Stegostoma tigrinum: one gene and its partners. Each later gene encodes a partner of the first gene's protein in a complex. Links are inferred from orthologs where the notes say so. Each region holds a gene or a part of one and is shown in the gene's direction. Other genes may lie near its edges.

What was found.
Region 2: meaf6 (region 1) and ing3 share a complex: the UniProt entries of both Homo sapiens proteins name them as parts of the nuA4 histone acetyltransferase complex. The link is inferred for Stegostoma tigrinum from reciprocal best matches to the Homo sapiens genes MEAF6 and ING3.
Region 3: meaf6 (region 1) and brd8a share a complex: the UniProt entries of both Homo sapiens proteins name them as parts of the nuA4 histone acetyltransferase complex. The link is inferred for Stegostoma tigrinum from reciprocal best matches to the Homo sapiens genes MEAF6 and BRD8.
Region 4: meaf6 (region 1) and brd1a share a complex: the UniProt entries of both Homo sapiens proteins name them as parts of the MOZ/MORF complex. The link is inferred for Stegostoma tigrinum from reciprocal best matches to the Homo sapiens genes MEAF6 and BRD1.

The regions. Positions count from the first base shown.
Region 1 is NC_081377.1:12,577,694-12,585,366, reverse strand, and holds the start of meaf6 (chromatin modification-related protein MEAF6), read left to right. Parts: upstream 1-4,601; 5' UTR 4,602-4,702; coding exon 4,703-4,792; intron 4,793-6,697; coding exon 6,698-6,813; intron 6,814-7,673.
Region 2 is NC_081371.1:36,895,870-36,904,182, forward strand, and holds the start of ing3 (inhibitor of growth protein 3), read left to right. Parts: upstream 1-5,299; 5' UTR 5,300-5,539; coding exon 5,540-5,567; intron 5,568-5,690; coding exon 5,691-5,762; intron 5,763-6,650; exon of another isoform or gene 6,651-8,208; intron 8,209-8,313. UniProt on the Homo sapiens protein: Component of the NuA4 histone acetyltransferase (HAT) complex which is involved in transcriptional activation of select genes principally by acetylation of nucleosomal histones H4 and H2A.
Region 3 is NC_081376.1:48,890,022-48,897,492, reverse strand, and holds the start of brd8a (bromodomain-containing protein 8), read left to right. Parts: upstream 1-4,182; 5' UTR 4,183-4,188; coding exon 4,189-4,207; intron 4,208-7,471. UniProt on the Homo sapiens protein: May act as a coactivator during transcriptional activation by hormone-activated nuclear receptors (NR). Isoform 2 stimulates transcriptional activation by AR/DHTR, ESR1/NR3A1, RXRA/NR2B1 and THRB/ERBA2.
Region 4 is NC_081378.1:30,366,404-30,374,595, forward strand, and holds the start of brd1a (bromodomain-containing protein 1), read left to right. Parts: upstream 1-5,160; 5' UTR 5,161-5,567; intron 5,568-5,662; exon of another isoform or gene 5,663-5,870; intron 5,871-8,192. Other genes in the region: alg12 (dol-P-Man:Man(7)GlcNAc(2)-PP-Dol alpha-1,6-mannosyltransferase), read left to right, coding at 1,175-1,424. UniProt on the Homo sapiens protein: Scaffold subunit of various histone acetyltransferase (HAT) complexes, such as the MOZ/MORF and HBO1 complexes, that acts as a regulator of hematopoiesis.

The DNA.
Region 1 (7,673 bases):
CCAATTCAAAGAATGCATCAGTGCCCAAGTATGAAGACTAAAGAAATAATGTTGGCTATTTACCTAAACATGTCAGCACTTGTGCGTTTCCCACAAGCATAATAGTATAATGGTGTGAAGAGTGTTTTTGTTTTCCTCTTTACATCAGGGAAAGAATGATGACCAATGCCCATACCTAAAATAATGATATTTTAGGGTAAAAAAAAAAACCCTGAAATAACTGAGTTAACACAGTGTGGATCTGGAGGAACACAGCAGGCCTGGCAACATCAGAGGAGTAGGAAAGTTGACATTTCGGGTCAGGATCCTTCTTCAGGAATGGGCACTTTCCTGCTCTTCTGATGCTGCCTGGCCTGCTGTGTTCCTCCAGCTCCACACTGTTATCTTTGACCATCTGTGGATGTTGGAAATCAGAAACAAAAACAGAAATTGATGAAAACGCTCAGCAGATCTGGCAGAATTTATGGAGAGAAATCAGATTAATCAGTTTTGAGTCCAGTGAACATTCTGCGGAACTGATGGTAGCTAGGAAAAGGTTGGGTGGAGAGGAGACCACATCGTAAGCAGCAAGTACAGTAGACAAAATTCAGTGAGGTGCTGGTATATCACTGCTTCACTTCAAGGGTTTGGGGCTTTGGATGGTGAGGAGGGAGTAAGTAAAATGGGTAGGCGCTTGACAATTTGCAATGAATGGAAAGGTGCCATGGCGGTGTAGAGGGAAGGAGGAATGGACTGGGGTGTCCCGGAGGGAATGGGCCTTATGGAAGGCTGTCAAGGGAGAGGAGGGGAAATATGTGTCCTCTACATTGGAGAAACGAAGCTCAGTCTGGGTGACCATTTTGCAGAACACCTACATTCTGTCAGCAAAACGACTCTGAGCTTCCAAATGCCTGTCATTTTAACACACCACCATGTTCCCTGGCCAACATGTCTGACTCGGGCTCGCTGCAGTGCTCCAGCGAAAGTCAGTGCAAGTAGAAGGGCAGCACCTCAGTTTCCCTTTTGGAACTCTGCCACCTTCTGGACTTAATGTGGAGTTCAACAATTTTGGTGTTTCTGCATCTTTTTCCATGTCCTTACCCCAACACCCACACACCAAGGCTTGTCGTTACATGGGCTGCTGCCACACACAACCTGTTATCAGCCATTATAGCCCCCATTAGCAGCTATTCATTCCTTGGGCTGACCTTTATCCACTCCATTGTCTGTCCAACTGTTTTTCTGTCCCTTTGGGTTCAATCTCCGATGAAAGTATTTACTTCCAGCATTTGAGTCCGTGTTACGATGTGTTTCCAGTCCTGTTGTATGAATTCATCACATGACATTAGCTATTACCCTGTGCCCATATATTTGCACCAAAGTTAATTTTTTGTCTGACCTTTGTCTATGCAGTACCAATAGTCGTAGCTATGATGCCAGCTTGCATTTGTGAGTTGATAGTACTCGACATTATTGCTTCACCATCTGCTGGGTTATCCAACCACTTAGCTGACAAGTAACAAAACCAAAGTTAACCTAATTAAACTTTCAGCAAAAACTTCAGACAACAGTCTAATTTCACCTCTTTCTCAAATGCCCAATTTGATGGATGCAACCTCAGAGTCCTGGTTTCAAGTACCATCTTTCGGTCTAAAACCATACTATTCTGTCCCTGAAACATTGCCTGTCTCCATTCTTCTTCACCCCCTTTACCAGTGATGTTCTCTTGTTTCAGATGAACTCCTCATCTGTCCAATCTCTACTCAACCAAAGACTTGCCGTCCATTTATTCCATCAAAAATATCCTCAATAACTTACAATCCTATTTTGGCAATAATGCGAAGGTGCCCTGTGGAAGATAGCAATGGACAAGTCAGGTAGATACAAAAGCTGTGACAGCAATTTAACCTGTAGAACTGCAAGGTGATCTGTTGAGGAGGTCAAACAAGGTAACAGTATGCATACCTGATGAACGAATGAGAAATAGTAGAGTGGAAATAGTCATAGAGACGGACAGCATTGAAATAGCCTTCGGTCTAACATGTGCATGCCGACTAGATATCCTAAATAAATCTAGTTCTGTCTGCCAGCATGTCGCTGATATCACTCTAAACCCTACCTATTCGTATAGCCATCCAGATGCCTTTTAAATGTAAGAACCGAAATAACTGTGGATGCTGTAAATCAGGAACAAAAACAAAGATGCTGGAAAAGCTCAGCAGGTCTGGCAGTATCAGTGAAGGAGGAAACAGAGTTAACGTTTCGGGTCTGGTGACCCATCCTCAGAACTGTTCTGAGGAAGGGTCACTGGACCCGAAATGTTAACTCTTTTCTCCTTCACACATGCTGCCAGACCTGCTGAGCTTTTCCAGAAACTTTGTTTTTGAGCCTTTTAAATGTAATTCTACCAGCCTTCACGTCCTCAGGCAGCTCATTCCATCACGGTCTGTGTTAAAAAGTTACCCCATGTCCCTTTTAAATCTTTTCCCCCTCATCTTAAACCTCGCCTTCTAGTTTTAGACAGCCACACCTCAGGGAAAAGACCATGTCTGTTTACCCTCTTCATGCTCCCCATGATTTTATAAACCTCTATAAGGTCACGGCTCAGCCTCTGACGCTCCAGGGAATATAACCCCAGTCTATTCAGCCTCTCCCTCCAGCTCAAATCCTCCAACCCCGGCAACATTCTTGTAAATATTTTCTGAAACCTTTCAAGTTTCACAACATCCTTCCTGTAGGAGGGGGACCAGAATTGCACACAATATTCCAATAGCGGCTGAAACAATGTCCTGTACAGCCGCATGTCACCTCCCAACTCCTGTACTCAATGCACTGACCACTAAAGGCAAGCAGACAAAATGTCTTTTTCACTATCCTATCTACCTGTGATTCTGCTTTCAAGGAATTATGAACCCACGCTCCGAAGTTTCTTCGGAGGAACTTAAGAAACCTTGCAATGAATATTCACAGAGCTGTCAAGGTGAAAAAAATGCTTTCCTGTAGTATTCAATGTATGGACTATAATAATGGGAACGTTATGCTGGAACCATACATTAGTCCATAATTTGAGTACTGAATGCAGTTTTGATTACTTCATTATAGAAAGAATCCAGTAATTGGAACTGTGTTGTGTGTAACACACCCTCCAGTCCTGGTTTCTGAAGAAGGGTCTTTGACCTGAAACATCAAACTTTCCTGCTCCTCTGATGCTGCTTGGCCTGCTGTGTTCATCCAGCTCTACACTTTGTTATCTCAGATTCTCCAGCATCTGCAGTTCCTACTGTCTCTTTCCAGTCCTGGTTATTTTGTTTATTTATTGTCACATGTATTCTGTTACAAAATACAGTGAAAACTGTAGTATTGCGTTGCTGCTCTCTGGCGCCATCTTAAAACACAGAAAAAAAACAAAACATAGAATATAAAGGCAGAAAAATAAAGTTCAACTTGACAGTCCTTGTAAAGAATTCCGTCATGGGCCTGGAGAGACAAGCTGTTGCTGCATTGCCAGATCAAGAGCCACCATTCTGCGGCGCCATCTTGCTTCTACCGATACTGCAGCCACCATAAGTCTTTGCTGGGCCTCCCCAATGCAGCTGCCACCGATGACGCCAGGGCCTCCATCAGCCCAAACTTTTCTTTGCTGCCACCGCCAAGAGCCCAGCCTGGGTCCACCTGACTGACGCAGCAGCTACAGATGTTGCCAGGTCTCGTACTGGGACCAAATGGGTTAAACAGGAAAATTGCGATAACAAGTGGTTGGAATTTTTGGGAAGGGATCAGTGGGAAAAAGGCACATGATTGAGTCAGAGAATAGGTACACTGCAGTGAGGCTAACAGATATACTTGCCGGAACATGAGTCACCACTCTGTGGCTGAGAATGGCAGTGTATTCAGTGTAAATCACTGTCCAGTCCTGACGGTGGTGGTGCATTAGGCATAACTTGTCTACTCCTGAGAGTCAGGCTGAGTTAGTGTAAAACACGTCGTGTCCTCAGGGTGGTAATATATTGGGCATAAGTCAATCTTCAGTCCTGGGGGGGGGTGTAATGCATTCACGAGTCCTGACGGTGGCAGTGTACTCTGTAATTCACCCTCGAGCCCTGATGGGGCAGTGTATTCTGTGTAATTCATCCTCCGTTCCTGATGGTGGCAGTGTACTCAGTGTAATTCACCCTCTATTCCTGACGGTGGCAGTGTACTCAGTGTAATTCACCCTTCAGGCCTGACGGTGGCGGTGTACTCAGTGTAATTCACCCTCCATTCCTGATGGTGGCAGTGTACTCAGTGTAAGTCACCCTCCAACCCTGACGGTGGCAATGTCCTCAGTGTAATTCACCCGTCAGGCCTGCCGGTGGCAGTGTACTCAGTGTAATTCACCCTCCATTCCTGATGGTGGCAGTGTACTCAGTGTAAGTCACCCTCCAACCCTGACGGTGGCAATGTCCTCAGTGTAATTCACCGGTCAGGCCTGCCGGTGGCAGTGTACTCAGTGTAATTCACCCTCCATTCCTGATGGTGGCAGTGTACTCAGTGTAATTCACCCTCCAACCCTGACGGTGGCAATGTCCTCAGTGTAATTCACCGGTCAGGGCTGCCGGTGGCAGTCTTGCCCAGGCGGCGCCCCCTACTGGTTGGAGGTCCATCCTGCGCCCTCCTGCCGGCCGCGGCCTGAAGAAGCGGTTATACCCCCCAGCCCGGGCGCTGCTTGCTCGCCAGCTCCGACATGGCGATGCACAACAAGGCGCAGACCCCACAAATTCCGGACACCCGGCGGGAGTTGGCTGAGCTGGTCAAGAGGAAGCAGGAGCTGGCGGTATGTGAGCCTCGGATGGATGGGGGTGGGGAAAGCAGCGGGTTCGGCGGGAACCGGAGCCAGTGCTCGAGGCCGGGGAGGCTCAGGCAGGAAAAGCCGGGGAGAGCCTGGGCCGCAGCGGGTCGGGGAGGCGGTTGAGGACGATGTCAGGGCCATGTGGTTGGTGGGGGGGGTTGGCCCCAGGTCTGGTACTTAGGAGATAGGGAGAGTTATCCAGTGACCCTCCACTTGTGTGTGGTGGTGGGGGGGGGGGAGGAAAGGGTGATGTTGGAGCTGGTGTCCCTGCCCTGGGGCATCAACAGCGGGCACCCTGGGTGTGGGCTTGTGTCATATCGGACAGACCTGCAGGAGTGGTGTGCATGTATTTGTTGCTCATGTCCCTCTTGTCACACGCCGCACAGTGAGACATTATTCTCGCTTACACTGTTGTTACGGTCAGTGTAGAATGTGTGGGGTGTCCCAGCCTTGTCAACACAGAGAACCACCGCTTTCTCCGTTCAAGGCTACATTGAGCTTTATTTTTTTTTCCCCCAGGCTTTGTTGGGCAGAGTGGGAATTTCAGTTTCCTCCCCCAGCGACAGATCTAGTAGGGTGGAGAGCTGAACTGCTGGGATTGCAAACTCTGAAACAGCGATCCGGTGTGACACAAATATATGCAAGTGTCGGTTTATCTGCAGCTGAGTGAGGGACATTGACAAAGATTTTTACTTGCAACAACTTTTATTTTCCTGTGCAGGATTCTCAGTGATGGGTTTGTGTGGTCCCTGTTTATGTTTTTGTGTGTTTGCTGTGACTGCCATAATTGGTGAAGTATGCAAGGTGGAAAATATGGGTATGCAGCTTGTAATAGTGCCACATTCAGAGATCAAGGTAAAGCCGTAGATATTTGGTATGAATCGTTATTAATAGATGTGAAAAGAGAGAAATCAGTGTGAGACGATTTGGGCAATTTGAGGCTCCTGTTGCACTTGTCGAATGTGGCATCTGAGTATATGTTCATTGACCTTGTTTACTCATGGGATGTTGAGCTTCCTTTGGCACCTCATTCAGGACCACCAGTTTGGTTCATTGCATCGATCTCTACCTCTACTTACCTTTTGAACCTTGTCTGGGGGCAGGGATGGGGTGCCTCCTGGCCTCTGGTGATACAGACCACCTTTCCACTGCCTTCACCAGAATGTCCTGTGAGGCATCTGAAAGTCACAAGCTTTCTTTCTCCTCTCTTATGCCATTACGCTTCACGAGGTCAGAAGCTCTTTGCCTATGACTCTTAGCATCTTTTCCAATCCCAGTACACAAAAGTGCAGTACAAGCTTTGTATGTGCTCGCCACTTGTGCTTTTGACTCTGCTAATGCATTCAACTAGTGCACGAAGTGATTAGCAATGATTGGTTATACACAGAAATAAATCCAAATGAACAGGCAGCACAAAGTTTAAATCAAAGCAAAATACTGTAGATTCTGAAAATCTGAAATAACCACTGAAAATGCTGGAGAAAGTCAACAGGTCTGGCTGCATCTGTGGACAGAGAAGCAGAGTTAAAGTTATGAGTTTGGGGTGACATGTTTATTCTAAAGAGGCCTATTGTATTCAAGATGTTTACTCTGTTCTCTGTGTAGACCTGTTGAGTTTTTCCAGCATTTTCTTTGTAACTCAAAAGGTTGTAATTACATTACAAATAACACATACTGGCTAATGGTACATCACAATTCCTGTGTCTGATTTTCAAAACTAACCAGTTTAGCTCCAATTGTTGTGAATCCCAACAAAAAGCATTCATTCTCTTTCTTTGTCCAACTGTTTTTCATAATTCTTTGAAATAAACATTACAACAAATCTTCATAGCAGGTCATTTTTCTTCCCCAGCAGTTTGATAAATATTTTTGTAACTTTTATTTCCACAGGAGACTTTGGCAAACCTGGAACGTCAGATCTATGCTTTTGAAGGAAGCTATTTGGAAGATACACAAATGTATGGGAATATCATTCGTGGATGGGATCGTTACTTGACCAATCAGAAGTACGTGTATTGACTTTGTGTTAATAGAGCTGTCAAAGTGACTCAACCGAAACAAATTTGGCAAATTTTCGAGTCCATTCCTGTATAATTCACAGGCAATATTATTTCACTTTTTAAAGTCTGCTTTTTGAAATGTTGTTAATTTACTGCTGGAATGGACATTTTGCTTATCATACTTTTCAAACAAATGGATGAAAAATTTTGCGTTGTGTGAATTTAAATAGTTTTGATTTTACTTTCTGAGGCCAACTGTTGTACATTGAACTTTCAGAATTCTCAAAAATAAATGCAGACAGTTCTGTACATTAAAAAAAAGTAATGAATACACCTAAATAGGGTTTCTAGTAACCTGTTCCTAAACATACACTGAAGTACATAGCTGAGTTGTGGTGGTCTCTGGATGAGTCTCTGATTCCTATCATGTTAACTCACCTGAAGATGTGTTATTACTTGGGACCCCTACAGTTGGCGTTGTCAACTCTGAGTGAAGGCCAGGGAGTGGTACGCCAGGACTTTTGCTGAACACCGTGTGCTGACTGTTCCTGGAACGTACATCTGTGTAGAGTTATAAAGTCATACAACATGAAAACAGTCCATGCCAACCATGTTCGTAAACTAAACTACTCCCACTTGCCTGCGTTTAGCCCTTCTTCTTTCATATTCTTTCATATTCATGTACTTAGCCAAATGTCTTGTATCCACCACTTCCTCTGGCAGTTCCTTCCACACATAAACCATAAAAAAAGGATCAGTTGAAATCCCCACAAGTTAACAATTTACTGACATTAACGACCTGAGCTGACAGTCAAAGAATGACAAATTGAGGGCACGAAAAGGTAGAATTGTACGCAAGCAGCATT
Region 2 (8,313 bases), on another chromosome or scaffold:
ATTTACAATTCTTCTATATCACATTATGCAGCTTAAATACAACACAATGAAGACAACAAGGTACTTTTGAATTATTTGCACATTTAATATGATATGAAGGTACAATAAACTTGCTTACCGAGCTGGCTGGTTATAGTTCAGATGTTTCATCACCAGGCTGGGTAACATCATCAGTGCGGGTTCCGAAGAAGCCATGTTGTCCTAGCCCGCTTAGTATTCATACGATCCAGTCTGTTGACGTGTTTGTGTCATTTCCGGTTCTGAACTGGAAATGACACAGAACACCTCAACAGACCTGACCATATAAATAGCAAACAGAGTAGAAGAACATCACTTCATTGGAGGCTGTGCTGATGATGTTACCTAGCATGATGACAAAACATCTGAACTATAACCAGCCAGCTCGGCTAGCAAGTCAACTACCTCACCCACAACCCAAGCTACAAATCTTTGCAAGAACCTTAAGTTACAATAAACATCTAAGTTGGAATATATTAAGGTAAAGGAAACACAAGTAAATTATTGAGGATAAAGGAAAAGAAGGAAAATAATTTGCATTTATAAAGCTGCACAAAGCGGTATGGTGGCTCAGTGGTCAGCACTACAGCCTCACAGCACCAGGGACCCGGGTTCGATTCCAGCCTCAGGTAACTGTCTGTGTGGAGTTTGCACATTCTCCCTGTGTCTGCGTGGGTTTCCTCCAGGTGCTCTGGTTTCCTCCCACAGTCCAAAGATTTGCAGGCTAGGTGGACTGGCCATGCTAAATTGCACGTAGTATTCAGGGGTGCATTATTGGGGAAACCAAGCGGAGGCTTGGGGACCGCTTTGCAGAACACCTCCGCTCAGTTCGCAACAAACAACTGCACCTCCCAGTCGCAAACCATTTCCACTCCCCCTCCCATTCTCTTGATGACATGTCCATCATGGGCCTCCTGCACTGCCACAATGATGCCACCCGAAGGTTGCAGGAACAGCAACTCATATTCCGCCTGGGAACCCTGCAGCCATATGGTATCAATGTGGACTTCACCAGTTTCAAAATCTCCCCTTCCCCCACTGCATCCCTCAACCAGCCCAGTTCATCCCCTCCCCCCACTGCACCACACAACCAGCCCAGCTCTTCCCCCCCACCCACTGCATCCCAAAACCAGTCCAACCTGTCTCTGCCTCCCTAACCGGTTCTTCCTCTCACCCATCCCTTCCTCCCACCCCAAGCCGCACCCCCAGCTACCTACTAACCTCATCCCACCTCCTTGACCTGTCCGTCTTCCCTGGACTGACCTATCCCCTCCCTACCTCCCCACCCACACCTTCTCCACCTATCTTCTTTACTCTCCATCTTCGGTCCGCCTCCCCCTCTCTCCCTATTTATTCCAGTTCCCTCCCCCCATCCCCCTCTCTGATGAAGGGTCTAGGCCCGAAACGTCAGCTTTTGTGCTCCTGAGATGCTGCTTGGCCTGCTGTGTTCATCCAGCCTCACATTTTGTTGTCTTGGAGTCTCCAGCATCTGCAGTTCCCATTATCTCTGATAGTATTCAGGGGTGTATGGGTTATAGGGGGATGGGTCTGGGTGGGATACATCAAGGGGTGGTGTGGATTTGTTGGGCTGAAGGGCCTGTTTCCACACTGTAGGGAATCTAATCTAATCTTAAAAAAAACCTCAGGAGAGATTAAATCCCACATTATAAAGACAAAATGAAGTATGTTAAAAAAAAATGCACATCGAAATGGCTAAACGATATAAAAGCAAAATACTGAACTTGCTGGAAATCTGAAATTAAAGCAGAAAGTGCTGAAAACATGTTAGTATCATCTGTGCAGAGCAAAAACAAGTTGTTCTGAGTTGATTATGACCCATTTTCAGTCAATGAAAAGTCATATTCCAGTTGGAATGTTTACTATCTTCATAAGAAATACGAAATATTGAAATATATCACATTAACAGATGTGCAGGTGAACATCTGTTTGACGTGGAAAGGGGCAGGTGTAGCACGTGCTTCGCTTGCAGGGAAACGTGCCGTGGATGTTGGAGCTGGAGGCGAGTGTGGAGCGGACAAAGGAGTCATGGAGACAGTGATCCCTCCACAAAGCACGTAAGGGTGGGGAGGGAAAAGTGTCTTTGGTAGTGGGGTCAGATTGCAGATGGTGGAAATGTCGGAGGCTGATGCGTTGGATTTGGAGCTTGGGCCCATGAGGGTACCCATGGCCTTTGTCTGTACACCGCAGTTCATCCCTCTCCCGCTGCAACCCTCTTATACTTTCTTCGGCCCTGAAACTGCTCGACCCTATCCTAAAGCAAACTAATAATTATATCTCCCACTTCCTACAGACAGAGGGTGGCCATGGGTACAGGCATGGGCCCAAGCTATGCCTGCCTCTTTGTAGGGTACATGGAATAATCCCTCTTCCAAAGCTACTATCCCCCATCTCTTCCTCCGTTACATTGATGACAGTTTCAGCACCGCCTCATGTTCCCACGAGGAGCTTGAGCAGTTCATTCACTTCGCTAACACCTTCCACCCCAACCATAAATTTACCTGGACAATCTCTGACACCTCTCTCTCCTTCCTGGACCTCTCTGTCTCCATCTCTGGCATCCAGCTGGAAAGCGATATCCATTTTAAGCCTACCAAATCCCACAACTACCTAGAACATTCCTCCTCTCACCCACCTTCCTGTAAAAAGGCCATCCACTATTCCCAATTCCTTCGCCTCCGCTGCATCTGCTCCTGAGACATTCCACTCCGAAACATCCCAGATGTCCTTTTGTTTTCAAGAACTGCAATTTCCCCTCCACAGTCATTGAAAATGCCCTCGACCATGTCTCCCGCATTTCCCGCAGCTCATCCCTCACACCCCCTATTCGCAATAATAACCAAAACAGAATCGCCCTCGTCCTCACGTACCACCCCACCAACCTCCAAATCCAAAGCATCGTCCTCCGACATTTCCGCATCTGCAATCTGACCCCACTACCAAAGACATTTTTCCCTCCCCACCCTTATCTGCTTTCCAGAGGGATCACTCTCTCCGTGACTCCCTTGTCCACTCCACACTCCCCTCCTACTCCACCAACCCCTGCACTTTTCCCTGCAAGCGAAGCAAGTGCTACACCTGCCCCTATACCGCCCCGCCACCCCCATCCCCAAGGAAGACTTTCCATATCAAGTAGATGGTCACCTGCACATCTGCTGAGGTGGTATACCGCATCCGTTGTTCCCGTTGTGGCCTCCTCTACATCAGGGAAACCAAGCTGAGGCATGGGGACCGTTTTGCGGGACACCTATGCTCAGTTCGCAACAAACAACTGCACCTCCCAGTCACGAACCATTTCAACTGCACCCCCACCACCCCCCCCAACTCCTCGGATGACATGTCCATCCTGGGCCTCCTGCATTTCCACGATGACGCCACCCAAAAGATGCAGGAACAGCATCTCATATTTCACATGGGAACCCTGCAGCCCAATGGTATCAACGTGGACTTCACAAGCTTCAAAATCTCCCCTTCCCCCACTGCATCCCAAAACCAGCCCAGTTCACCCACCTCCTTAACCTGTCCTTCCTCCCACCTCAAGCTCCACCCCCATCTCCTACCCACTAACCTCATCCCGTGTCCTTGACCTGTCCGTCCTCCCTGGACCAACCTATCCCTTCCCAAACTCCCCACCTACACTCACCTTTACTGGCTCTAACCCTGCCTCTCGACCTGTCTGTCTCCTCTCCACCTATCTTCTCCTTTATCCATCTTCTATCCGCCTCCTCCTCTCTCCCTATTTATTTCAGAATCCCCTTCCCCTCTCCCATTTCTGAAGAAGGGTCTCGACAGGAAACGTCAAACTTTCCTGCTCCTCTGATGTTGCTTGGCCTGCTGTGTTCATCCAGCTTCACACGGTGTTACATCAGATTCCCCAGCATTGGCAATTCCTACTATCTCTGAAATATTGAAACATGCTTTTCCCTTAAGTAGTAGGTTTTTGCACCAAGGTCACATTTCACAAATTTTCTAAGTAACTGGTTCAAAATAAGTCATTTATTGAGTAGGAAATGTGAGGTTCGATGACCGTGTCTTTAACCTCCGGTAAATTGAACGGGTTATATGATCTGTTCTGAAATCTGCCAGATGACAAGACAAGGTGACGCGGCTGTTAGAGATTAAATGTAATGAAAGTGGAGATAATTGCACGAATATATTTACAGTGACCGGTAGTTTCCCAAGTCCCTAAAAGATGTAAAGCAAGTCTGGCAGCATCCGTGGAGGGAAAAACGTTCGAGTTCAATATGACACTTCAGAACTCAACTATTGCATCTTGTAGTTCTTAAGACATATACTGGGCTCAAATATTAACTATTTGTGTTTCCAGAGATGCTGCCAGATTTGTTGAGTTTCTCCTGCATTCTCTATTTATTTTAAATTTCCAGCATCCGCAGTATTTTCGCTTTTACAAGATTACGAAAGGACTACTTAAAGAAGCTGTGTAAAGAATTTTTTTTAAAAAAAGTAGTTTCTAGGTCCTATAAAAAGTAAAACGGCATGTTTTACTGGCTACAAAAAAAGTGTTCACTCAATACTGTAGCGTATTTCTTCTGTTTGCCACAGTTAAAAAAATAAAAATGTGAAATCTCGAGTCAACCTTTCAGATATCAATCTGGTACTTCGAATTACTTTTTAGAAGTTGAGTCTTTACGGAGATCGTACCCAAAAAAAACTCTTAAAACACTACATTCATTTCAAGTTCAGCTGAAGAATGATGTGTTATGATCAAGATCAGCAAGGCTAGCAGTTGTAGGTACCCGATTGACTTTTTAAAAGGAGTTGAGCAGGGGACTGAACAAATTAGACATCCCTCTGATCAGAAGCTGCACCAACAGGATGGGGGTCTCTGTTATCTGATGCATCTTCTTGCTTCCGTGCAATGAATCAGTGAATGGAGAGATATTGCTGAGTTGCGTGGAAGTTGAGTACGGGATACATACAAATCAAAGAGAGCATCTTCCAGCCCCGCTCGCTCATGCCGCCGTGTAATCGGAAACGGGTCTTAAATTGTTTAAACCAAACGATCGAAACAATAATCAGAAAATAATAAGTGCACGTCGGAGCCGGCACAACTTGAACAACGAACCCCGCCTCACCCCAAATCATTCGTAGCCTCAATAATCGATCAGGGAGCTCAGGCTTAACTCGACTCAAGAAACACAGAGGCCGACGGCTGCCCGCCTCGAACAGAAAGACCTGGACTACATCTCCCAACATTACCTTGTTGTTGTGGGCGTGCCGAACCAGGAAAAACCGCGCCAACGAAACAGAAGGGCCGCCGGCCCACCAATCGGAGTGCGGAATTTGAGTGCGCGGGGCGGGGAGGGGCGGAGCCGAGGCGCCGGTGTTTTTATCTGCCATTCCCCATTTTTTTTAAACGAACGAGCGGCGCTGGTTTGAGACGCCATATTGGAACCATTTTAGGGGGGAAGGAAAAAAAACAACCATCCCTTTTTTAAAAAAAATCGTCCGGTTTTTTTTACAAAAACCATCCATACTCGAAATGTTGTACTTGGAGGATTACTTGGAAAGTGAGTATTGAGTGTAAGGCAGCGTGTACAGCTGGGATTGTTTCCCCCCCCCCCACCCCGGCAGGGCCGGGCGGAGCGAAGCGAAAAGGCACCATTAATGCTGTTGTTTTCCTCTCTCGACAGTGATCGAACAACTTCCCATGGATCTGCGCGACAGGTTTACGGAAATGAGGGAGATGGACCTACAAGTACAGAGTATGCAGAGCCACGTTAGTCATGTCAGAGGCACACAACTCACCCGTGTTTTTTTTTAAATGCCGGGACACTGCACTGAACATTCTTACAGCCACATTACGATACCCGCGACTTCTCTCCTTCCACCTTACCTCTTTCAGTTTCTTTTCAAAACAAATGCCTCTTGACCCAAAACCTAAATATTCCGCCTTTGCAACATTTGAAAAGATCCAGGAAATAAAAGTTTCAGCCAAAATAAAACCACCTTTAGTTTCAGTTACCGAGTCATTTTTGATAATATTCCGATAATTTGTTATAGTTACTTTTACTTTTTCAGCTCCTTTCCCTCCCTTTTCTGAGATCACTTATCTATTGCCACTCAATTGCAGAGTCATAGCAACGTACACCATAGCAACAGCGTCCATCACTTGGTCCAGCGCTAGGTGGCAACTTCTCTTCCCTTTTTAGCTGCACTTGGATTTCTTTTCCATAAACAATTAATTGTATAGACTTTGCGAATGTTTTCTTAAATTCCTTTAGTGAGACCATTATTGCACTCTGTGGCTCGGTCTGAAAATGTGTTTAAAAAAAACTGATCTCCCCATGCGACATCAGTCTTTGATGTCATTGTAACTGCTGATATCGTAGCAATTTCTCCGTGATAACCTTTAAAATGTTGAATTTCATTAACGTATTTTAAAACTATCTTTACTGTACATTTTCCACTTGTGCACACATATATTGAATAATGAAATACTTTAAAGTGGGGTACGAGAATGGTTTTCTAAGTTTTCAGTTTTTAATATTTGCATTCTTGTGTTATTCTGAATTGAAGTACAGAAATATATTAAAATAATTCATCTCTAGTTTTCTGTAAACATTAATCAATTAAAGTAAATCAAATAGAAATAATGCATTTTAAAATTTATCAGGGCAACCTAACAACTAAAATTAAGTAAAGTTGTTTTTAAAGGAGACTTGGCTTTCAATTATCTTTTATTGCTACAACAGGTACCAACCATAATTTCTCTGCTTCAAAACTTTGATCACCACTGCTTGGATTGGACCATTTTAATTTGATTTTATTTAGCACGTAAATTAGAAGTCTCATTTGAACATTTACACATGTATTAAATAAAAGTTTGTCCCTAGCTATGTTAGAAACTAGATATTCAGATTTATTTGGCAAAAAATATCACAGTAAACTCCTTAAAATGCAGTTATACAGCAAAATGAATTATGGCATTACATTTCAAAAGTAGAGAGTTATTTTGAAGATTTTTCTTTTTGACCAGCTTAATAAATTATATTTATAGCAATCTGCGGTATGTCACTGTGAACGTTTTTCAAATATCTCCATTATTAGTTAATTTCACCCCATTCCACCCGTAATGGAGAGTTTCTGGTGAGACAAAATTGAAATTGATGGCATTTTGTTATTAAAACACATCTACAAACAGTTATTAAGATTCTGACCAAATAAACCTTGTAGACTGCATGCAGTTACAAGCACTCAGCATTTTCAGTAATTTGCTGAGCATTGATATACATGGTTTACTAGGTAAGCATTAGTGAAAGTATCAGCCAAAACTAGGCTAAGAAAATCCATTAAAGTTAGTTGTGGAATTGCCCTTGCAGAGTAAATGCAATTTAAAATTTATCAGGACATTCTAGTAACTAAAAAGAAGTAAAATTGTTTTAGAGGAGACTTGGCTTCAGTTACCTTTATTGCTAGAACAGGTACCAACCATAATTTCTCTGCTTCATAACTTTGATCACCACTGCTTGAATTGAAGCATTTGAATTTGATTTATTTAGCACATTAATTCAAAGTCTCACTTGAACATTTTTATGTGTATTAAATAAAAGTTCATTCCTGGCTATGTTAGAAACTATACAATCAGAAAAAAAATCACAGTCAACTCCTTAAAATGCAGTTATATAGCAAAATGCAACTGATCTGTGTAAAGCTCATTTATCAGGAGCTTATGGAAGTGAAAAAGAAGCTTAAGGCAACAAGAAGACTTAACACTTAAAAATTTGAAATTGATTGTAACAATTTGAGCTACACAGATTTACTGTATATAAGGGCCATGCATTTTTTTATTGTGATCTGTTACAAATTTTAAAAACCAACTAATAGGCTTTTTGGACTATAATTTTTTCAGAATACCGACCTCTTTTTGAAGTTATTTCATTTATTAAGTTATTACGGTGCTATGTTTTCAGTCATTGTTGCTAACAATCCATTCAGTTGTTGATAAAACTTGCTAAGAACTCCGGTTGGTACGTATTCTAAATGTTGCCTTCCTGACAACAAATCTTTGCTACCTCCTGGTGTTTCTGAATTCTTTAAAGATTTACTTCATTTATCATTTAACACAGAATTGAATGCTGCAAATGGAGGATTTTAGTATCTGCAGGAGGACTGAATTGCCTTACTCGTCTATAATTTTCTTTTGATCCTGTTAAGTATCTTTTATACTTATTAAGTTTCTTTTCGGAAGCTCTCAAAACGTAAAGTGCAGGCAAGACAAAAGTGTGAGGAAAGAAATAAACGGTAATTCATATA
Region 3 (7,471 bases), on another chromosome or scaffold:
AATCCAAGATAACAAAGTGTGGAGCTGGATGAACACAGCAGGCCAAGCAGCATCTCAGGAGCACAAAAGCTGACTTTTCGGGCCTAGACCCTTCATGATCCTCTCTGATGAAGGGTCTAGGCCCGAAACGTCAGCTTTTGTGCTCCTGAGATGCTGCTTGGCCTGCTGTGTTCATTGAGCTCCACACTTTGTTGTACAGTTCTTCAACCTAGGTTTGAATCTAATCCGAAACAACTGATTAAATTGTCATCTCTCTCCAAACGTACATTGGTTTTATTCCTAACAACACCACAGAATTTGGTATTATGTTAATTCTAAGGAACCATATATGTTATTTCAGTTCCTCTCTGATGAAGGGTCTAGGCCCGAAACGTCAGCTTTTGTGCTCCTGAGATGCTGCTTGGCCTGCTGTGTTCATCCAGCTTCACACTTTGTTATCATTACTTCATTTGTCTTTTTTTGTACTTTTTCATTGGATGTGGGAATTACTGGCAATTCCCAATTGTTCTTGCACCATGTGGATTATGATTTAAGGGTCAGCTATATTGTCTGGAGGCTTAATTAGGCTAAGTAAAAAGGATGGCAGATTTTGTCCTAAAGGACATGAGTGAATCAGATAGGCTTTTATGATAGTCAGCAATGTTTCCATGGTCACCAGCTTCATATTCCAAACATTTATCAAGTAATGGAATTTAAATTCCACCACCTTGATGGAATTCGAACTCAGGTCCTAATCCCTCACTTGAGCCGTTGGATTACTAGCCCAGTGTCATTCTCATTCTGTCGCCACATCCCTATCTGATGTCGTTCAATGCATGATAAAAATTAGAGGACATTATATAAAAACAGCGTACTGAGATACATGTAAAAAAGTAGAGATCAACTTATTCGACAGACCATGCATTGCCTCATCTTTCTGTGTTCAGTGCTAACAGTGAGTGCAACAAAGGGTTGTGTTGGGGAGGAGAAGGAAAGAGGGAAGGGTCGGGGAAGGTTGGAGGTATGGGAGGTTGGGAGGAGGGGTGGTGGCTTGATAAAAGATCCCTTTGACTGACCCCCACCCTCCCTAAATGTGGTTCCAACACCGAGGCTGTCAGTCTCTCTACCCACACATAGCTCAGGCAATGCTCCATTTACCCCTTTCACTCTCACCCTGTGGTTTGCTCTCCCCCTCCCGGATGCTCTCACCCTTCACCCCATTCCCATCCTCTACACTTCACCGCCCCACTGGGGCACTCAACCTCTCCACCTCCTCATCCTCCACGGAGTCACCCACTCTCCCAAGTCCCGTCCTCCTCACCACCCCCCCACCCTCATGGTGCTCCCATCCCTCTCACCCTCCAGGTGGAACCAGGTCTCGGGCTTGGCGTCGGGTTGTTGCCATGGGAACGCACCGGGCCGAGGCTCGAGCCACTCAGAGAAAGGGAAGGCACCTCAGCCAATAGGGTGGCGCGAAGCGTCAGACCAATGGGTTGCAGGGAATTGGCAGATGCATCCAATGGAATAGAACACTGGGCCAGGGCCAATAGGATTGAGGAAAATATGCAGCTGCAGACAATGGGAAGGGTGCCGGGTCCGGGCCAATGGAAGGGAGGGAAATGGCAGTCGCAGCCAATGGAATAGAGGAACGGGCTAGAGCCGGTATGATGGGGCATGTGGAGGCCACAGACTATGCAAGGGGAGCCAGGCTCAACCAATGGGATGGAGAAGGGCGGGTCTAGACCGACGGGTTGTTGGGGCAGGTGCAGCCAATGGAATGGAGCTACTAGCAACGATGTAGTAGTGTGGGCGGAGTGCGCAGCCGCTGTGTAGCCGGCAGTGCACGTGGAGCTGGGAAAGTAAGGCAGGAGAGAAACTGATAATGGGATGAATGGTCGAGAAGCATTATCAGGGTTCCTTCCTCCTTTTAACTGCCTACCTTTATCCCTCTGAGCTCCATCTATTTTTGAGCCGCTACTAATTCTGCATAAGTGTTACTCGACTTGAAATTTTAACTCGGCTTTCTTTCCACATGTGCTGTCAGAAATGTTATAGATTTGTGCAGATGAATGGGGCGGGAGGAACAAAATAAGTAGTCATGCTTTTAATGAACGAAAGCAGTGGCTACGTGACAAAATATTTCCTATTGGATAACAAAGTGTGGAGCTGGATGAACACAGCAGGCCAAGCAGCATCTCAGGAGCACAAAAGCTGACGTTTCGGGCCTAGACCCTTCATCAGAGAGCCAGCATTGGTCTAGGCCCGAAACGTCAGCTTTTGTGCTCCTGAGATGCTGCTTGGCCTGCTGTGTTCATCCAGCTCCACACTCTGTTATCTTGGATTGTCCAGCATCTGCAGTTCCCATTATCAAGGATCACATTGGACTTGATACATCAACTTTGTTTATCTTTGCAGGCATCCTGCCGGACCTGCCGAGTCTGTCCAACGCTTTGTTTCTATTTCGGATCTTCGGTCTTTGCTGAACTTTGCTATTGTCAAAGGGGGAGATAACAGTTGATTTTAAAAATGTCAAAATGGGTTTGAAAGGCAGAATAATGAACAGCTGTGCCTGCAGGTAAAATCACGTTTAAGATGGGCTCATGCAAAAGGAACTGCATAAAATGGAAGAGGATGTATTAACAGGAATTGTTACACCTAATGTTGAGTAAACTATTGTGTTTAATCAGAAGTCGAGGTGCTATTCCTCAAGCTTGAACGGAGGTGACGTAGCAATGTATCAGTGGCATATGGTGGTCTTGGTCTGGCGTACCTGAGCATAGATTCCTGGTATCAGGTGATTCCAGGGCAATGTCCCACTCTCCAGCAACTCAAGGTGAAGCCCAATGCAGACTGGACACTCAGTGCTAGGATAATCTGGGCTGGAAGGTTGTTGTTCTGCACTTCCATTTGCACAATGCTGGACTTTGAATTTCTCTATTTTTCTAAGATCTGGTAACTGAAGAAGCTGTACTGAGGTACCTTTTGTACCTAGGATGGTGCTGTAAATAGTGACTTATGAACTTTTCCCTACTCATTTGAGCATTTGACAATGAAGCTTATTTTATTCTGTTCTATGTGGGGTGTTGCAGTGGCCCTACCTCTGATTGAGGAGCCTTGCTTTGAGTCCCCTCTGTCTCAACACCTTTGAATAGGTTGATGAGAAAATATCTGCAGAGACCAACACTGAAACTCTGCAGCAAGGTGACGGTGACAATGACACCACCCAGAAAATGGAGGAGCAGCACTTTATATTCAGCGATAACAAAGTGTGGAGCTGGATGAACACAGCAGGCCAAGCAGCATCTCAGGAGCACAAAAGCTGACGTTTCGGCCCTAGACCCTTCATCTGATGAAGTCTGGGTCTTTGGGGGGGGGGCAGCGGGGAGAGAAGGTTGTGTTGCTGGTGTCTGGGTCTTTTGGTTGGGGGGGGAGAAGGTTGTGTTGCTGGTGTCTGGGTCTTTTGGTTGGGGGGGGAGAAGGTTGTGTTGCTGGTGTCTGGGTCTTTGGTTGGGGGGGTGAAGGTGGTGATGCTGGTGTCTGGGACTTTGCGGGGGGGGGGGGTGGGCAGAGAAGGTTGTGTTGCTGCTGTCTGGGTTTCTGGAGGGGGGGGTGGGGAGAGAAGGTTTTGTTGCTGGTGTCTGGGTTTCTGGGGGGGGGGGTGGGGAGAGAAGGTTTTGTTGCTGGTGTCTGGGTTTCTGGGGGGGGGGTGGGGAGAGAAGGTTGTGTTGCTGGTGTCTGGGTCTTTGGTTGGTGGGGGGGTGAGAGAAGGTTGTGTTGCTGGTGTCTGGGTCTTTGGTTGGTGGGGGGGTGAGAGAAGGTTGTGTTGCTGGTGTCTGGGTCTTTGGTTGGTGGGGGGGTGAGAGAAGTTTGTGTTGCTGGTGTCTGGGTCTTTGGTCGGGGGGGAGGGGGGAGAAGGTTGTGAGGAAGAAGGTTCCCTGCTCTTCGCTCACCGGGGTCCGGCGTTGTTGCCTGGTTACAGCGCAGCCAATGGGTGCTCTGCATGTGACATCAGAAGCCTTGACCTTTCACCCTTGTTTATTTTATTTTAGCAGTGGAGGAGAAAACACCGATAATGTCCTCAAATTCAACATTCAGTAATAATGTTAATAATCAGCGGTCGCGTTTCTATAAAATCTCGTGGGATAGTGATGGTTTAATCTTTTCTCCGGGCGGGGTTAGAGGTCAATGCGCGCGGTGGTTAATGGGACGATGGCGGCTAGTAGTGGCAGTGAGTAACCTGGCGACGTGGAGAGAGTGGGAATGGGAGAGACGGAGAAGTGGAGGGGAAAAAAGGGAGGTGGGAATAGAGTGGAAAGGTGTGAGTAGAGAAAGTGGGGAACGGGAACAGGGAGGAGGAGGAAAAGGAAAGTGAGAGTGAGAAAGAATGGGGACGAGGGCTATGGGTAGAATAGCGGAGAGAGCGAGGAATGAATGGAGACGGAGTGAGAGGTTGGTGGTAGGGGCTTCGTGGATGTTAGAGTGGCTCATTGGCGGGATGAGGAGGAGAAGCTTTCAATTTAGGAGTCCGAATATGAAAGAACTGTCAACGTGGGCAGTGTGGAGCAGTCTTGAGTTCTTGGCTTGCCTTCCCTTCCGCAATGTTAAACACCTGAAGCTTTTATAATGTTATTAGAAAATGCTGAAAATATTTAGTAGCTTGATCTGAAATGTTGACTCTGTCTGCATAGATGTTGCTAGCTGCCCCGAGCCTTTATAAAAACCGAAAGAACTGCGGATGCTGTAAATCAGGAGCAAAAACAGAAGTTGCTGGAAAAGCTCAGAAGGAGAAAACCAGAGTTAACCTTTCTGGCTCGGTGACCCTTCCTCAGAACTGAGCTGCCGGACCTGCTGAGCTTTTCCAGCAATTTTGTTTTTACAGCTAGGAAAATGTTGGTTTGTATGCAGAGGATAGGGTGGGGAGAGGTGTAAGGAGTAAATCATAAGTTGGGATAGAGCCCAAAGAAAGGAAAGTGCATTTGGATGGACAAAACTGTTCTTCCAGTTTGCTCTGAACTTTACTGGAACCCTGCAGCAAGTCTAACACAGTGATGTTGGCCAGTGAACAGGGTGGTGCGTTAATGTGGCAGGCAACTGGAAGCTCAGGGTCTTTTTGTTTTGTTTTGTGTGGGCAGAACGTAGATGTCCTACGAGTGTGGGTGTCTGAGACACCTTTGTCCACTCCCCCTTCACTAACACCCCTCCTATAGTTCTGTGGTACCTTGCCCTGCAACTGCAGATGATGTAACACTTGCCCGCCCACCTCCCTCCCTACTCTCCAAGTGCTCAAATATACCTTCCAGGTGGAGCAGCACCATACTTATAGATAGACCCTTGCTCTGTGACTAAAATACACTTAGCCTAGGACTTACTACTGTGTAGAAAATAACTGGAGGAATTACTGTTGTTGGGACACCCAGATTAGCCCAACAGTGTCTCTGGAAAGAGAATCCAAAAAGTTAACCTTTAAAACTAACTCTAACCTTCTGAACATTTCAAGCATATTCTTCTTTTATTTCCAATTAAAGCTTCCATAGCTTTTTGCCTCAGTTTTTTACATGTAAAAAACTAAGGTTGTACCAACTGTGGCCAAACAGTGATTCAGGTGGTTAAAGAGCACAGGCAAACTGGAAATCATGGCCTGGATGTTCCAATGCCAAATGGTGAATTTTAAGATGTTTGTTGCTGTTGTGTCAGGGTACTTCAGAAGCTCTGAATACCTCATTTCTGCAGTATTTGCTCAGCAAGTTAAAACCTCCATTGGCCAGGTATGAAATGCCAGGGCCTCTCTGAAAATGTTGACCTCTGTTAATTTCTGGTGGAGATTAGTGTTAATCAGTGGACCCCATCCCACAGCCTCCACATGCAGTCACCTTCATGAGCAACTTTAATTTTTCTGTGATAATGGGAACCGCAGATGCTGGAGAATCCAAGATAACTTTTCTGTAACGGTCTGGTGCCACTTCGTGGCTTGCTAGTTAACAATGTTGAATTACCCCATATAGGTTAAGTTCTTCCTTAACTGCCATTACAGAACCTGGTCACTTTTTTTATGGTGAGCCCAGTGATCACTTATACTGATACCAGTCCCTGTATTAAAGCAAAGTAAAGGTCCTGCAAATTATGGTGAAACTGAAAAGGAGGCCTGTTTCATGTTTGTTTCATTATTCAGTGGAGAAATAAAATGAATTTTAAAAAATGCAGGGCATAAATGAAAAGGGTGATAAATAGAATGAATGGAAATAGAATAATTGCAAATGTGCAAGTCTTTTGATAAGCATGAACAGCAGGAGATAGATGAAGGGTAGTATCTAAAAGGATAACTGAATACTGTTGGTAATCTTGCATTTCTCTTCAAGGAATGCCATTGTCACAGCAAAGGAGTAGATAATAGACAAGTGGATGAAATAAAAGCAAGAGTTGGTGCTTAAAAGGACAACATCTGGTCTAGAAATCCTCCCTCCTACTCTAAAATAACAGGCCAGCTCCAGTCCCTGATGATAGTTGCTGTTACATGTGTTTTCTTGTAAAAACGTGATTTAAGTAGATCATTTTTGTAGATTCTTGATTTATCCAAATTTACTGTTGAACTATTGCTATCAATGATGGCAGACCAACAGCACCATTATTTTTTAATCACACTTTCTGGAAATGTGAAATTATTTTTGTGACTATTTATTCTGCTTAGCCGCTTCTGAATTTTTCTTCTAACGTAATCTGCAAAGGAAATGGGAACAAAGGCAGCAGATGTAATTGAGAGGAGAGTGCATGTACTGTTGCTATGCAAAGAATCATGTTGCAATAACAACAAAATAATGTGCAAACCTTATAAATAGATGGCAGTAGAGGAAGACGTCAAGAGAAAGAATTAGAGATTTGAAGAGGAACTTTTACAAGATATTTTTCTGCTCGAAACTGGGCAGAATCAAGGAAAATAAATTTACAATGTATAACTAAGAGTCTCGACAATGTTGCTATTGTAACGAGCAATTAATCATTACCTCTGTAGTTTCTGTTCATGAATATATAAATTGGTGTTGATTACTTTTCCCCCATATCACCTGTTGTACATGTTATGTTTCTTTTGAAAGCCCAATGTAGAATTAACTGAAAATACTGCGCCCCTCCCAAACCCCGTCCCCACCAATATTTTTCACTCATCCAATACCATAGAATGATTACCCACAAAATGGGCATTTGTTCCATCGTTTACATGCTGGCTCTTTGCGAGAACTACTCACTTTATCCCGTTCCCTCATCTTTTTTCAATAGCCCTGATGTACATAGTTCAGCTGTTAACATATCCACATACTTGAAGAGAGAGATTTATGATTATACATTGTCAAATTGTGATTCAAGATATTCAATGGGAAATGAAGCATTCTTGAAATGCAGTCACTATTCCATTGTACAGAGCAAGCATTAACAGGAATACGACTGACAGTTTTTATGGTGGGTATGTTCCGCACCTAGTGGAACTATTCTGTTTCTTTAC
Region 4 (8,192 bases), on another chromosome or scaffold:
GGAGAAGTGTGAGGTCATCCATTTGAACTTAAACAAGACAAATGGAAATACCTATTAATGTAGAGAAGACTATTATGGGTAGAGGAGTAAAGGAATTTATGTGGTTGTTCATTTGCACAGCTCAGCGGGGGGGGCTTTGCATTGGTACAAAAATGAACCAAAATAGAATATTAGCTATTTGTATCAAAGGGACTGGAGCATAACTTCCCTCGTGCATTCAAGTTGTACAGAATCTTGGTCAGAATATTATTAGATGCCACTTTCCAGGTAAGAGTAACTGCGTTTGGATCAAATACAGCACAGAATAACCAGAATGATATTGGATATGAAATAACTAAATTATGAATATAGGTTGTACAAACTTTACTTTTAATTCCTCAAATTTAGCATTTCAAGGGGAGATATAATCTAGGAATAGGAAATAATAAAAAAAGAAAGGATACAGAGTAATAATTTTCACCAGTGAGATGAATCAGAACAAAATGACATCTTTAAAATTCAAGTTAAGCAACTGAATGAAGTCAGGAAGCACATTTTTTTCACAGGATAAAGGAAGAAGTTAAATCTTTTTTTTATAAATTGTGAATATAAGCAAAATTTATAACTTGATAAGTCTGAAAGAAAGTATATGAATAATGGGACAATGATCTGGCACATGTGAAGGAGGTCAAGTAGGCTCCACTTCTGATTTAAGATTCAATGAGCCAATTTTCACCTTTTGGGAAGTCAATAAATTGTTGTTTGGAGTGGCTACCTGTTGTTCACTCAATCCAATTTGAAGCAAATAGAAAGGGAAAATTGAGTGACTGTACATCCGACTGATCCATGTCTGCCTGTTTACCACCTCTGTAGGAGCTAAAGGTTATTCAGAATGTAAGTTGTAAATGGAATGATATGAATATTTAACACATTTAAGTACCTCTGAAGAATGAACAGAACAGAATCTGTTATGTTTGAAAATATGTAAGAATTCTATGACAGCCACTTATAAATAGGATCTAACTGACTTTACTAGGAAGAGAAATGTTGCCCATAACTAAAAGATATTAAATTTCCAACTTTCACTGTTAAGGAAATTCAAGAAATGTAGCTTAAATGTGTTAACTAGTGTTTTAGTGTGAAAAGATTGATCATTTTCATTTTCATTTTCATTTTCCTCCCTTTTGATATACAGGTATGATAAGAGGGAAGATCTTAAACCAGGAAATGTTGGAAGTATTGCATATACTCATTACCTAATGGAAATGAACCCAATTTATATATCACAGTGTAGGAACACTCATAGAATAATGTTTAATATTTCTGGTTTTAGCGGGATTGAATTTAACTTGTCTCAACTACCTCCACTTTCTATTAAAATGGAGACAAAATTAGTTATATTAGAAAAAATATTCACACATCATGAGAATATGAGAAAAGGTTGACAATTTGCCAACTTTTCTAACATTCTTTAATAAGACTTGCAGACAACATGCTGCTCGTTCTTATTTATTCAAGAATCTATCTGCATTGAGTGCCTGAACAAAATGTGAATTTGCTGTGTTGAGTGAATACTTATGAAATAAAACAAACTTTGACAGGATTTTGCTATTTAACATGAAGTATTCTAACTTGTTCATTTTACTTCTGGTTTTGCTGAATTTCCAGTTTCCTTCCTTATTTTAAAATCTGTCTCATATCTTCTTTAGCTTTACATTTCAATAACATGGTAAGAAATCTACTGAGATTTTTGCCAGTCCCTATTTTTCCATCTATTGATTGGGCAGAAATTACAAGATGACACATAAAATTCTACTCCTTTACCTGTCTAAGTATCAGCATTTACTACACAACATAACTTCACAATAGTTATTCATTGCTCTAATACATATAGTTTTGCATATCATACAGTTTGATATGTTTACAATCACTTAGTATGTTAGATAACGTTAAAGCAATAAAAATGTTCAGTATAGCTATCTGAAGTAATAAGAACTTCTGACGTAGTCCTTTTAGGACTAAATAATTGGGACCATCTTGGTCCACTCATTTATTCGTAAAGGTTTTTAAACCTAAGACCAAAACTAGAAGAAACTGGAGCATAAGTCCAGTTTGCAAAATCTGGCCTCAATCTCTGACAACTTATTCCTATTTGAAGTCAGATATTCCTTTATTTATTGTATTCTTCTATTTTTAAATTTTCAAAAACTGGAGTTTGGAAAAGTGTTGTTTTAGAACATAGAACATTACAGCACAGTACAGGCCTTTCAGCCCTCGATGTTGTGCCGACCTATCATACCGATCTCAAGCCCATCTAACCTACACTATTCCATGTACGTCCATATACTTGTCCAATGACAACTTAAATGTACATCGTGAAAGGCATCGATACAGTAAATAGACATGGTCTTTTTCCCTGGGGTTGGGGAGTCCAAAACTAGAGGATGCAGGTTTAAGGTGAGAGGGGAAAAATTTAAAAGGTATCTAAACGGCAACTCTTTCACAAAGAGGTTGTTGTATGTATGGAATGAGCTGCCAAAGGAAGTCGAGGCTGGTACAATTACAACATTTTAAAAGGCATTTGGATGGGTATATGAATAGAAGAGGCTTATGGATATGGGCCAAATGCTGGCAAATGGGACTGGGTTGATTTAGGATATCTAGTTGGCATGGATGAATTGGACCGAAGGGTCTGCTTCCATGCTGTGTGTATCTCTAGGGCTCTAACAGGCTAGTTGAAATTGGATGTGGCTTGCAGAGATTTTGGGTTACTTTCACCAGTGGATTGTTTTAGAACATAGAACAGCACAGTACAGTCCCTTTGGCCCACGATGTTGTGCCAAGCTTTTTCCCTAATCCTAAACTCTATCTGACCTTCACCCCCTACCTTATACTGTCATCCATACGCCTGTCTAATAGCCATTTAAATGCTCCTATCCAAGTCGACTCCACTACCCTCTCCGGCAATGCATTCTATGCCCTAACCACTGAGTGAAGAATGTACCTCTAACGTCTCCTCTGTATCTACCTCCACTCACTCTAAAGCTATGTCCCCTCGTAATAGCTCACTCCACTCTAGGAAAGTACTGGATAAATTCTAAATCAAAATATTGTTCTTCCTAGTAATTTGATATATGGGAACATGGATTTAAACTTCATATGCAACTCTAAAGCCACCATCAAATGTGCCTAAGACATGCATAAATAAAGGGTTTTTTTCTATAAAGACTATTTGGCTTATTACAATGTCTAGTTCATACTTCTGACCTCCACGACTACTAATTTATGGCTCTGTTCGTGTCCACTCTGCAGTTTACTGCAGTTAACTTTACAATATTCTTAGTATTATAAAGGTTTAGTACATATTTGTCTAAAGCAGAAACAGTATGATTCTCCCACTGGAACAAAAAGCATGTTACTTTCAGTGTACGTTTTTCTTTGTCTTGGAATCACTTGAAATGGAAATCAGTCACTGCTATATTCACTGTACATATTCTGTCAGAATCATGGGAAATAATAGTGAGGGTCCAATTTTTAAAAGGCTTTTTCCTATCTTTGTGAATCAGACTTGATCTATTTTCATGAAAGCTTAATCTCCTGGAGAGAGCAGGTTCATTACTTGTAGTGTCACTTCAGGACTTCACCTGACAAGGGAGCAGTGCTCTAGAACCTCCATGAGAGGGATGCTGCTTGGCCTGCTCTGTTCATCCAGCTCTACACCTTGTTATCTCAGATTCTGCAGCATCTGCAGTTCCTACTATCTCTGGGACTATAACTTGGTATTATGTGACTTCTGACTTTGCCTACCCAGTCCAAGAGCACCTCCACATCATGTTATAGATTTGTAAAAGCTTTTACAACATGCTTTATATTTCTAGCTAGTTTACTCTATTTTTCCACAAACCAGCTCATTTCCAAAACACCCCTAATTATCATATTTGCTCTCCACACAAAACAAAAAGACATACATTACTGAAATAATTGTTGTTCTTTACATTAGAAATCTCTGCTTTATCCAATAATTTCCTGTTGAAGGCACAGATGGGTCTTGCTTGTTGAGTTCTTGTTTTCAATAGAATGTAGTTGCAAGATATTTTTGCACTGTCAGTTTACCTTCAGACCTCTTTACCCAATTGACAGCTATCCCAAATCAAATAAACTCTTTTGAAGATTCATACTAGACTCCAACATTAGCTGCTTCTTTCTCCACAGATGCTGCCAGACCTGATGCGTTTCTCCAGAACTATGTTTCTTAAGGTGGGAACGATAAAGATGGGAAGGATTTTGCTGATCATGATTTTCTTTCCCTCAACTCAGCATTAATTTCACCCCCCCCCCCCCCCCCGACTCTTGATTCACATACTGAGCCATGCTCCCAAAAGCTTCAACCTGATAGTGCTGTTGGTGGGTGCAGCGTCCCCTCCCTTGGAATCTAAAGTCAGTGGGTTATAAAGGCTACAATTTAACATAAAAATACAGATCTATTTCATAAAAGGGAGTAACCTCGCCGTAGTCCTACCAGACCCGTAGTGCGGCTCTTTCATTAGAGAGGGACGAGTGCAGTCACCCACACATCAGGCGAGGGGGAAGAGGTTGAGAAGGAGAATCCTTCCAGGCGGGCTGGTGTGCTGTATTGGTGTTACAAGTCAGGAGACCCAGATTCAAATTCCACCTGCTGCAGAGATATGTCAATAACATCTCTGAACAGGTTGACGAGAAAAACTATCCAGGGAACTGAACTCACACTGTTGTCATCAGTCTGCATCACAAAACAGAGCTGACCGACCCGCTGAATTTTAACAAAACCTGTGTTTCAAGTTCACAGAGGCCCGCACATTACACTGCTACCGGGCCTCATCCTCCCAAGAGGATGGCCACTTTCAGAAAGCGGAGATTCTCTGTCTTTGACCCATCCTCCCCCCTCCTCGGACTCCACCAAGCCACGGGGTTTCCCCCCTGAAACACAAGGTTAACCGTGCGGACCACTCGCGGAGGGGGGTGGGGCGGCAAGACGCTAGTCCCGTCCGCTCCGCACGCTGATTGGCAGAGACGCCGGTGAAGCGTTTTGACAAGCAGCACGGCAGCCGGCCGGCGAGAACAGTTCAGCCCCGCCCCCAAGCTGTGACGTTGTGCATCAGCGAAACGGTGCATTGTTGTTGCAGAAGCGGAAAGAGCTGAGAAGCGAGGGCGACAAGAGTGGGGGAAGGGAGGAGGAAGAGAGAGAGAAAAAAAACCATCGTTGGGGTTGGTGGGGGGAGGGGACGGGACCTGTCGAATGTTCGCACGTTCGGTGACAGTTGGCGGTGGAACGCGAGCAGGAGGAGGCGGCTGCGCGCGGGCCTCGAGGGCACCGTGTTTTCATTCGCCCAGGAGCAGCGACTGGAGAGCGTGGACGGTCCGTCCGTTTGATGAACGGCCTCGAGGAAAGCGGAGCCGGGGCCTGCACGGAGAGGGCGCGTCAGTCCAGTCCGCTGACAAACACGGCCGTACACATACGCACAACACAACCCCAAACGGGAGAGAAGCGGAGTAGCGGTGGGGGGTGGGCGAAATAATAATTCTTTTTCAAAAAAAAGAGGCAATAGGCGGTAAGTTTTGCCCTTTAAACGCCGGCGGATAGTGAGTTGTTAACATGAGTGGGATTAGGGGGGAGGTGGACGAGGGGCGGGGAAGCCGCCAGTACCTTTCTTGCTCCTTGTTTTGTCGGACGCCATTTTATTTTTTCTCTCTCTCTGACTGTGTATGGGATTTGAGTTTGTTGGAGCTCTCCTCCCTCCTCCGCCCTTCGGTTCCGTGAATTTAAAGTCGGTGCCGCAGAAGGCGGGCGGGATAGATGAATGATGGCGCGTAGTTGTAAGTGGGAGGAGCTGAGATATGTTGGTATATCTAGGGTCCGGGGGCTAGTTATTTGTGTGTTGTGGAGGAGGGGTGTTGGCGGTGGCAATTGCCTCCCACCGGCGCCGGGCGCTGCCGCCGCTCCATTCAAATGGCCCGGGGGCCGACGCGCTGACGTCACCCCCGTCCGGACCGGAGCGACTTCCGGGTTTGTGCACAAGGAGAGAGCCCCGAAATGCCCCAGTGAGTGACAGTCTTCAGGCCTTCTTTCTTTCACTTTTCTCTCCCTCAACTTTAAAGTTCTGTCTGTACACAACCTATGTCGCATCTCGCGTTCGTCCACCAAAACTTCGGTCGACCCCAAATGTTCGTTGACCCCTCCCATTATTGTTTAGCGGCCTTTTGCACTGTTCTTGTTAGATACGCTCATTTCTTTCCCATCTTCGCGCTTACGCGTCCATTCTCTTTCCCTCCTCCCCCAACCTATTTGCATTCCTGTGCTGGGAACATTCCGCCCTTTCCAAGAATCTCCCCAAGTTAACTGCCACCTTGAACTTTTTAAAAAAGAATAAATCGTTCTCCGATTGTGGAGAATAACAGTTTCACTGTTGTGGATGATCTTTCGTGAAATCTTTCACGATGTTGGCAATTCTATGATAGTTTCTCTTGAAAGCTGCTCAAGCGAAGTTTTAATTTGCAACACAGCAGTCTCATTAACTGCAGATTTTGCAACAATCATGTCGACTGTTAGTGCGACGTTTTGGAAGGCAAGCTTACATAATCGGTATTTGGTGTAGAAAAGGGCATGGCATTTTAGAGATTTATTTTGAGTCTAATTTTGTTGGATGAACGCTAGTTTTATTCCTTATACTGATGCATAGATGTTCTTTGCTGATTTCTGAAAGTTTAATGAAATGTTGTTATGTTCCTTCGTTTGGCTCCATTGTTTTAGATTTTAAGGTTCACATTTTAGTGATTACTCAGCATTCATAAAATCCCTACAGTGTGGAAATTGGCCCTAAGTCTCAAGTCCACACCGACACTCAGAGCATCCCACCTAGACCTATCCCCCTACCCTTTCCCTGTAAAACCACCTAATTTACACATCCCTGAACACTGGGCATTTAGCATGGCCAGTCCACCTAGACTGCATACCTTTGGAGTTATAGCTTGAGCTACACATGTCCTTGGCACTAACCCTTTGTGTTAGGTAATAGCATGAACATAAACTCAATTCAGTGTTGTGATGTCATTATAAATTTTCTTTGTAGCATTTTAATGGTTTTATTCAGAGTTCCATTGCTACCAAAGAAGCTTATTCCATGTGTTTCATTTGTTTTTCCAAGTCAGTTTAGAAAATCTTTTGTGGTAAGAGAAGATATCTGCAAAGGAAATCTTCAAAGTTAGATCATTCCAACAAATGTATTTAAAAGAAGTTGCAGTCAACTGTGAAAGAATTCTTGCCTAATATATCAGATGGATTGTATTCACCCTAATAGAAGTACTTGCATACATAGCTTCAATGCAGTAGAACAGTGCTAAACTAAAGGCAATATACTGTAGCAGTCACTCTTATATCTTTCATTGCTGGTCAGTTTTCTGACACAAAATCCAAATTTCATGCAGTTTCTAACGTTAGATGTTCGAAATCCTCTTCAAGGGTAGGTCATCAGTGCCATCCAATTGTAACCCAAACATGAACGTTAAAAATGTCTCCCCAGTCTCTGCCAGTTGATTGAATGCATGCAACAATAAATAATTCAAAATAAATCAATGTTAAAAAACAGTGAAATGTGTGCACCTTCACTGTACTTGCATGGCACCATTCACATTAACTTAGAATAAGACAAAAAAAATTTGAGTCTGACTTTCCTTTCTACTGTTGCAGTCCCACTCAGGGCTTCCCAGCCATGCCGTTGCTGCTGCCAGTGTCCCGTTTCGGGCTGTCTCACTGGTCCATGAGTTGTGAATTGAACAATGGTGGACTTTGTCTTAATTTTTTAATGTATTATTTCTGTTATTAATATAGGTGCCAGACAATGGCAACTTAACCACTTTTCACTATACTTTTTTTAAAAATGTGTGACAATTAATTACTATTCCGTTTTGTTCAAAGGCTAAACATTCAATCTGCTGCTTTATTTTCGTAAGTATGTATCTTGTGTGGCTGTGAGATTTTGCTTTTTAATGAGGCCAAATGAAACAACCAGGTTGTGTCTAGTAATATTTATTTTCAAGTATTTTATGTCCAATTAGTTGCTTGACTGAATATGTTCTTCAGAGCTTTTTTTTCAGACGCAATAATATTGTAGACTCCTTCAAAAAAAAACCTGTGAAGTTTCAGTATTAGTTTGAATCATCAGTGCATTTTTTTTTGC